Canis lupus familiaris: one gene and its partner. The protein of the gene in region 1 interacts with the protein of each later gene in a pairwise test. Links are inferred from orthologs where the notes say so. Each region holds a gene or a part of one and is shown in the gene's direction. Other genes may lie near its edges. The genes, in order: DAPP1 and FXN.

Region 1 (3,910 bases):
ATACCTCCTATTTGTTTGGAAGCAAAAGTTGCAGTTTCTTGAAGTATATATATATGTGTATGTATATACACACATATGTATATATGCTTATGTGTGTATAATATCTAAACAATCTATTGTTAAATATATTATCCAGTATTTTGACGACTACCCAGCATTTTGTTGAATCCAAGTGGTAATGCTGCAGCAGCTGGTACTGCTCCAATGCTAAATGTGTAGTTAGTGGAGCAGGGGGGTAGTAGGGAAAGGAGACTGCCTGGGGGAAACGGGGTAAGTGACAGAAAGAATGACATTAGAGGAGAAGGTCACCAATGGGGTAGCAAAATGAGAACAGGAGGAAGGCAGGAAGACTGAAAATGGGAAGAGGGTGATATTAGTAAGCTTTGCTTCTTTCCTGAAAAAAAAAAAAAAAGAGAGAGAGAGAGAGGAGAGGTTAAGTAAAAGAAAAACCAGAATCTGCTAAAATGGGAACAAGATAGATACTGAAACACTGAACAAAAAGCTCTAGAAAGAGAACAGGAAATCTCTGCCCAGATGCCCCGATCTCTGCCAAATGTACATTCAGCACCTCCCAGGCCGGGGCTGGCGTCTGTTGCAAGAGGACCCTGTGCTCCTCTCCGTCCACGCTGTAGCAAAAAGAATTGTAAATGTTCACGTACAATCAGTTACAAGAGTGTTATCAGAGCTTAGTCTCTCCCCCAGGCTGTGTTTAGACATCAGGAATTTCTCCCACACAATCAAAGTAAGCCAGGGTCTCCCCAATCACTGACAAACAGGAACACGAGGGAAAACATTTTTTTTTTATTTCAAAGATTTTCTTTTCTTTTCCTTTCTTTCTTTCTTTTCTTTCTTTTCTTTCTTTTCTTTTCTTTTCTTTTCTTTTTTTTTTTTCTTCTTCTTTTCTTTTTCTTCTTCTTTTTTTTTGGAGTTCAATTTGCCAACATATAGCATATCACCCAGAGCTCATCCCGTCAAGTGCCCCCCTCAATGCCTGTCACCCAGTCACCCCAACCCCCCCACCTCCCTTGTACGTTTCCCAAGGGAAGAGCCGTAAGGAAAGGCGGAATGGTGCCAGATGCAGATCCTCTGCTTTAGGAACAGCTCCTCTGTCCTGGCATCCTGCAAGGCAGTCTCCTCAAACTTGAACGGGCACGGGAGTTACCTTGGGGATCTTGTTTAAATGCAGATGCTGGTCCGGACTGGCTGGGACAGAAGCTCTGCATTGCGACAAGCCCCTAGTCATGCCAATGCTGCTGGCCTTGGGTTACAGAGCACCCCGGTGACCCCTGAGTGAGTTAGGGTAAGAGAGATAGAGAGAAGGGAAAGAATCCAGAAGCACATTCTCTCCTGCATGTAAATAGAGAGAGAAGGCGGGAAGCCACACATGTTCTTTGTTCATTTACTACCCCACTTCGTCCGACTCCCAGACACTCAGCATTGCTGCAGTTTCCCTGGAGCACCTGCAGGCAGACGGGCTGCTCTGCTGCACCGATACCAGCGGTGAGTAAGCCCAGTGAAGGAGGGGGGGCTCCCAGGCTCCCCGCACCAGGCTGGTCCTCCAACTTCTCCTGCCATCTCACCCCATCCTTCCTCCTCAGAGAAAACAGCAGTTGTCTCTGAATCTTGCCAGTCTGAATGCCACGGGCATGTTGAAAAGCTTGGGTAATCAAGGCAGAAGTATCGAGAAGGCACTAAAAACCAGACTTGAGGATCGAGGCTAATGGTTTGACTCTGATTTCTACACCCGCCGTAAAGATGTTCCTGATACAGAAGCTTCCTCGGAGCCCCTTGCGTTGGCGCATGAGATGGAAGATGGGGGTGCCTGTACCCTCTTCTCCCAGGGCTGATAATAGCACCTGGGAGAAACTATGTTTGGCCTTGCCAAAGGAGCCTGAATGGATGGATAGTCCAAGCCCAGCTGGGGTGACTTCATCTTACTTTCCTTTGACAGAAACTGCATGTTGCATGATGCAGCGTGGGTGCCCTCAGAGTAGCTACCTACGTTTGCATACTTCCTGGCTGACAGAAGACTCCTGCCCGTGCCTCAGGGCCAGGGTGGTGAGTGTCAGTGGGAGGAGTAACCCAAGTTTCACTTCCTTGCTGGTTGGAGCCCAGCCACAGCAGGCTTCTCTCTCAGAGGAGGAGAGCGCAAGGAGCAGTAGACCCAACTCTCTCTCTCTCTCTCTGCCTCTTCCCATAGCAACTGGCAGGGGCTGGGGGACGTGAGGAGCGCGAATGGGCAGAGCAGAGTCTCTCGAAGGGAAGATGAGCACCCAGGATCCTTCAGATCTGTGGAGCAGATCAGATGGAGATGCTGAGCTGCTTCAGGAATTGGGGTAAGAAGCAAGTCTTTTCAAAGTACTTCTTGGGTGACCATTGACTCCCAATTCCCTCCCAGATGTTCACTTCGGTTGACTATCTTCAGCACCTTGCCGTCTCAGTCCTCTTCGCTTTCCACTTCACCCCTTTGTGTCTGTTAGGCATCTTTCTGCTTGGGGCCAATCACATTTTAAAGGCATATAGTATTTTCCCAAGAGTGAAAACATGTAAGCAGAAAAAATGGGACAAAAATCAAATGTTGGGCATTCTTTGAGACTAGGAACAGGATTGAGATGTATGAGTCGATGTTACTTGGTTTCCTTGGTGCAGATCTGGTTTATGAATAAAAGTGCTGTTCAGAAGTTTGGAGCTCTAAGCTATTGACAGTAAGAGGGCTGCATTGCCAGTAAGATAAACAGAAAGCCTAGCCTATTGCATCGGAGAGGGACTTTTTCAAAACAGAAAGAATGAGGAAGTGTCTGCACTGTCTCATCTGTGTTTCTCTCTCCTGACACTGCATTTGTCTTGTATGTATGTGTGTCTTGTAGGTGCAACTTTGAGCCTTTTAAATACTAACAAGTCAGGAAGAGGATAAAATTCCTGCCTCAAACAGGTTATAAGTTTAGGTAAGGTGGCATCATCCTAGTCCTGTCTTTAAGAAGGGACCAGATGAGACAACCCATCAGGGTATTTAATAAAAGAAGCAAGTATTACACAAGAGAGGTGTAGGGGGTTTCCTGGAAAAACTGGACCTTTACCCTAAAGCACCAGAAATATCCTAATGAGGCTGATTTTGACACCTGTGCTTCACAAGAGGCAAGACCAGCACCTCTTCATAAATAGCACTGTCTCCACAGCAACCCAGTGACATAGAGCCTATTATCTCCAACTTACAAAGGAAGAAAATGGCACCCAAGGGGTTGAAGAACTCTCCTACATCACACATCAACAAATGGCAAAACTGGGATTTCAACCTGCAAAAGCCTATGTTCTTTGCCAGAGAAAAACTGAAACAGGGATGAAATCTCTGCATTAAGTCAGCAGAGATTATATCTTTTGTGTGGTATTATTGTAAAAGTTCTCCATAAGTCCAGCCTTCAGATTTTAAAATGGAGGTCTCAGAATTGAACTCTACCCTCACTAGATAAATCAGATATAACAGTGAGAATTTTCCATAGTCAACTCCCCTTACTGGGAATTCAGAGTTCTCAGATACCACTGTTCTTCTAGGATGAATCTCCAAAGTGGAAGGGTAAAATACCCCTGAGCATCCAAACAGGTGTCACAAAGTCCAGGCACTAAAGCTAGACCTTTGGGCTCTCACTTACAGCCTTATGAAATTATTAAAGTATAATTTGTTACATGCTTCATTATCAATATCCCCAGCCTATGATCAGCAGGAAGTTTCAAAAGAGAAGAGAGACAAAGGAGGTACTCAATTCTGGTTCTATGAGCCCACATTCAATGCTTGAGTGACGCTGTAACCTCCTTGGATGACAGAGATGAGCTAAATGATGTCTCCTCTCTCTACCATATGCCCACAGCAGGAAGTGACTGTGGGCAAAACCCACAAGGAAAACAGAATTGTGCC
Region 2 (3,910 bases), on another chromosome or scaffold:
GGTCCTGGGATCAAATCTCACATGGGGCTCCCTGCTCAGAGAGAGCCTGCTTCTCCCTCTCCCTCTGCCTCTTCCTGCCACTCCACCTGCTTCTCCGTGGTTTCTCTGTGTCAAATAAATAAAGGGACGCCTGAGTAGCTCAATGGTTGAGCATCTGCCTTCAGCTCAAGGTGTGGTCCAGTAATCTCAGGATTGAGCCCCACATATGGCTCCCCACTTCTCCCTCTGCCTAGGTCTCTGCCTCTCTCTCTCCTCTCTCTGTCTCTCTCTCTCTCTCTCTCTCTCGTCTCTCATGAATAAACAAACAAATCTTTAAAAATAAATAAAAATATAAATGTTCACAATTTGCATTCCCACAATTTGCATTCCTTTGCAATATACAACCTAAGTAAAACTGTCTTTTACTTAAAATGTATTAACAACTTAATAGCGTGCATTTAGCAGAGTCTAAAAAAAAAAAAAAAAAACCCTTTACATAGATTAACTCATTTTATCCTTAAAACAACCCTAAGAAGGGGATCCCTGGGTGGCTCATCGGTTTAACACCCGCCTTTGGCCCAGGGTACGATCCTGGGGTCCCGGGATCAAGTCCCGCCTCGGGCTCCTGGCATGGAGCCTGCTTCCCCCTCTGCCTGTGTCTCTGCCTCTCTATGTCTATCATGAATAAATAAAATCTAAAAAAAAAAAAAAAAAACCTAAGAAGAAACTTTTTATAAACCACGCTTTCCAGATGAGGCACGGAGAAGTGAATTAACCCGCCCACTGGTCACACAGCTGCCAAGTACAGAGTTCGGCCGCAAACCGGGCAATCCCTCTGCAGTGTGCGGGTCCCAAGGGCTCCAACCTCGCACAGCCAAGCGGGTTCAAGGCCTGCGCCGCGTCCAGGTCCCAGCAAGGCTGCAGCTCGCAAACCCTTCCTGGCTAGAACCCTGCAGCCGTGGGTCGCCAGGCCCAAGGCTCCGAGGACCGAGGACCGAGGTCACGCCTTCGCCTGTTGCCGGGGGCAAGCCCTGTGCTTTGCACGCAGCGCGCTCTCCCTCTGTCAAATACGGAGGCCGTGCAAGGCGGGGAAGCGCTTCCCGGGTCCACCCCGGGCCCGTCCCGCAGCCCGCAGCCCGCAGCCCGCCGGAGCGCCGAGCCCCACCGCGCCGCCTGCCGCCCGTAGCCAGCAGGTGTCGCCGCGGCGTCCCCGGAGCCGGAGGGCGGAGCGGCCGCAGACCGCGAGGAGCATGTGGACGCTCGGGCGCCGCGCCGCCGCCGGCCTCCTGCCCCGCTCGGCACCCCCGGGCTCAGCCGCGGCCGGCGCGGGGACCCGGGGGCCCACGAGGGCCGCCCCGCTCCACGGCGGCCGGGGGCTGCGCGTCGGGACAGGAGCGGCCCGCGGGCCCAGCCACGCCGTGAGTACCGCGCCGCGCAGCCGACCGGGCCGCAGGCGGGCGGAGGAGGCCGCGCACGCTGGGACGCTGCGGGCACGCGCGCTCACGGGGCTCCGGCGGCGCCGCGGCCCGGGGACGCGCTCTGCGGGCGGGGGCGCGCTCTGCCGGCCGGGCATGCGCTCTGCCCGCGGGAGACGAGCTCTGCGGCCGGGGACGCGCTCTGCCGGCCGGGCATGCGCTCTGCGGCAGGGGACGCGCTCTGCCGGTCGGGCACGCGCTCTGCCCGCGGGAGACGCGCTCTGCGGGCGGGAACGCGCTCTCCTGGCCGGACGTGCGCTCTGCCGGTCAGGCATGCGCTCTGCGGCCGGGGACGCGCTCTGCCGGCCGGGCATGCGCTCTGCGGCCGGGGACGCGCTCTGCCGGCCGGGCATGCGCTCTGCCCGCGGGGGACGCGCTCTGCGGGCGGGGACGCGCTCTGCGGGCGGCGGGCGGCGGGGGAGCGCGCTGCCCTCTCCGCGGGGTGCCCGGCCGCGCAGCCCGCCTCCTGGTGCCCGGGGTCACGTTTGCACCGGCCTCTGCTTTCCGGTGCGAAAGGGCAGTGCATTGCCACGGCGGGGGACACGCAGCGCGGAGGCCCGGCACCCGCCCGACCGCCCACGGAGGGAAGGTGGCGGGGGACCCGCTCCCGGGGGTCCGTGGTGGTCGCCCAGCTCGCCGCCTCCCTCTGCCAGAACTAAGGTTTAAGTGCTACTATATACGGTACTGGGTACTGCACCACACATGTGTATGGCAGATGATCCTAGCATCTGCGTAAATATATGTAAATAGACTGAAACAGCACACATACCAACAAAGCAGTGTGTAGTAGTGTGTGTTTATAACTCTAGAGCAATGTGTTCAAGAATGTGCTTTTATGAACGAAAAGCTTCCTTGGAGCCAGGTGGAACTACCAAGGCCCTGGAGCGCAGTAGGTAGCGCAGCAAAGCTTTTGGAATAGGACCCGGCCTGGGTTCCTCGGCCTGGTTCTGCAGAGCTCTGCGACCCCGGGGACCACCCCTCCCAGAGGCCTGGCTTCCTTTTCGGTCTAGAGATGAAAGGATGAGGACATTCATCCCGCCGAGCTGGGGTGAGGATCCAGTTGGCTGAACGTGATAATAAAGTCTTCAGCTCTGGGAGTTAATTCTCTTTCCTTCCCTTGGGGATGCAGTGAAGCATCTGACCCAGGCAATCCCAAGACCTGAGAGGAGGCAGCCCAAGGAGTGGCTGTGGAGTGAGGAAGACTCAGCGGGGTAGACGGGATGTGTAACCCGGCTTGGAGGTGGCGCTTGGAGGTGGCAAGAGAGCAGCATCCTAAAAGGGGGACCTGCCTGGGCCGGGTAGGCAGGTGGACAGTAGCTGAGTGGCTGGGTGGACCCTGCGTGGTGAGGAAGGCAGGTGAAGTCCAGCCCAAATTGCCTGTGGAGCTCTGGAATTGGGACTTTAGACTTAAACTTCCCACGGCCCTGTTATTTGACCGTGTGTGAAGAAAAGTTAGAATTGGTTGCCAACACTCAAAGTTGGGACCTTTGATACTGGATCTTGCAGCTTCTCCAGAAAAATAGGCAGTTGTGACCATGCTGGTTCCACGATGTCCCAGTGCAGAACACAGACATTACCCTTCTCCTGGGCTGTTCTGTGCTGTTCCCACCTGGAGCTGCCCTGGCTTGCACTTCGACCCCTGTGGGCCATGGATTGGCAGCAGTTTTTAATTTAGGACAGTGACAAGATATGGCATGGTCTCTTGGATGGTACCTAGTGGCTGTTGAGGGCTGTTGACTCAGAAGCATGCCCAGCTTAGAGCTGCCACGCAGCGGGTGGGCACTGGACACACATTGGGATTAGGAGTCTTGGGAGGTTGGGAGATAGTAATCAACCTGAATCACCCCACTGGGCCTCCTCTACCATGTAAATTAATTGAGTTTGTTGAGCTTGTCTGTAACACAAGTTCGCTTACACATCTCCAATACTTGCGGAGTTGGGTGGATGACGATGGCAACTGGGATCACCTTGTTTAATTTGTTTTAAGGCCTGAACTGTCCTCAGGCTGACTCCTAACGTCTCTGCGCGCCAGAACTCACCAGGACCTGAGTTCAGTGGGTGGGCCTCTTCCCCATCCTTATTTTCTCTATTCCCTATCCTACTTCTACAGCACCGTGCAAAAGAAATAGAATGGGAGGTGCGTGTGTAATTCTAAATTTTCTAGTAGCTACATTACGTTGACAGAATATAAAAAAGCAGGTGAAATTAATTTCGATACCACAGTGGGACACCTGGCTGGCTCAGTTGATAGAGTATATGACTCTCCATCCCAGGGTCATTAGTTCAAGCCCCATGTTGGGCCTAGAGGTTAGTTTTAAAAAAAGATTCCAACACTACATTTATGTAATCTCGTTTTTCAAAATATTATCATCTCAACATTCTGGGTTCTCAGTAGAACCCAGAATCTACAGAAATGCTTTCCTTCTAAGTGTGCAACTCTGTGGCCCAGGGAGGCA

Evidence for each region.
Region 2: the proteins of DAPP1 (region 1) and FXN interact in binary tests that used the Homo sapiens proteins (3 or more experiments, as listed by UniProt). The link is inferred for Canis lupus familiaris from reciprocal best matches to the Homo sapiens genes DAPP1 and FXN.

What each region holds. Positions count from the first base shown.
Region 1 is NC_049253.1:18,115,258-18,119,167, reverse strand, and holds the start of DAPP1 (dual adapter for phosphotyrosine and 3-phosphotyrosine and 3-phosphoinositide), read left to right. Parts: upstream 1-1,041; 5' UTR 1,042-1,500; intron 1,501-2,101; exon of another isoform or gene 2,102-2,200; 5' UTR 2,201-2,235; coding exon 2,236-2,336; intron 2,337-3,910. UniProt on the Homo sapiens protein: May act as a B-cell-associated adapter that regulates B-cell antigen receptor (BCR)-signaling downstream of PI3K.
Region 2 is NC_049222.1:88,982,158-88,986,067, reverse strand, and holds the start of FXN (frataxin, mitochondrial), read left to right. Parts: upstream 1-1,194; 5' UTR 1,195-1,229; coding exon 1,230-1,397; intron 1,398-3,910.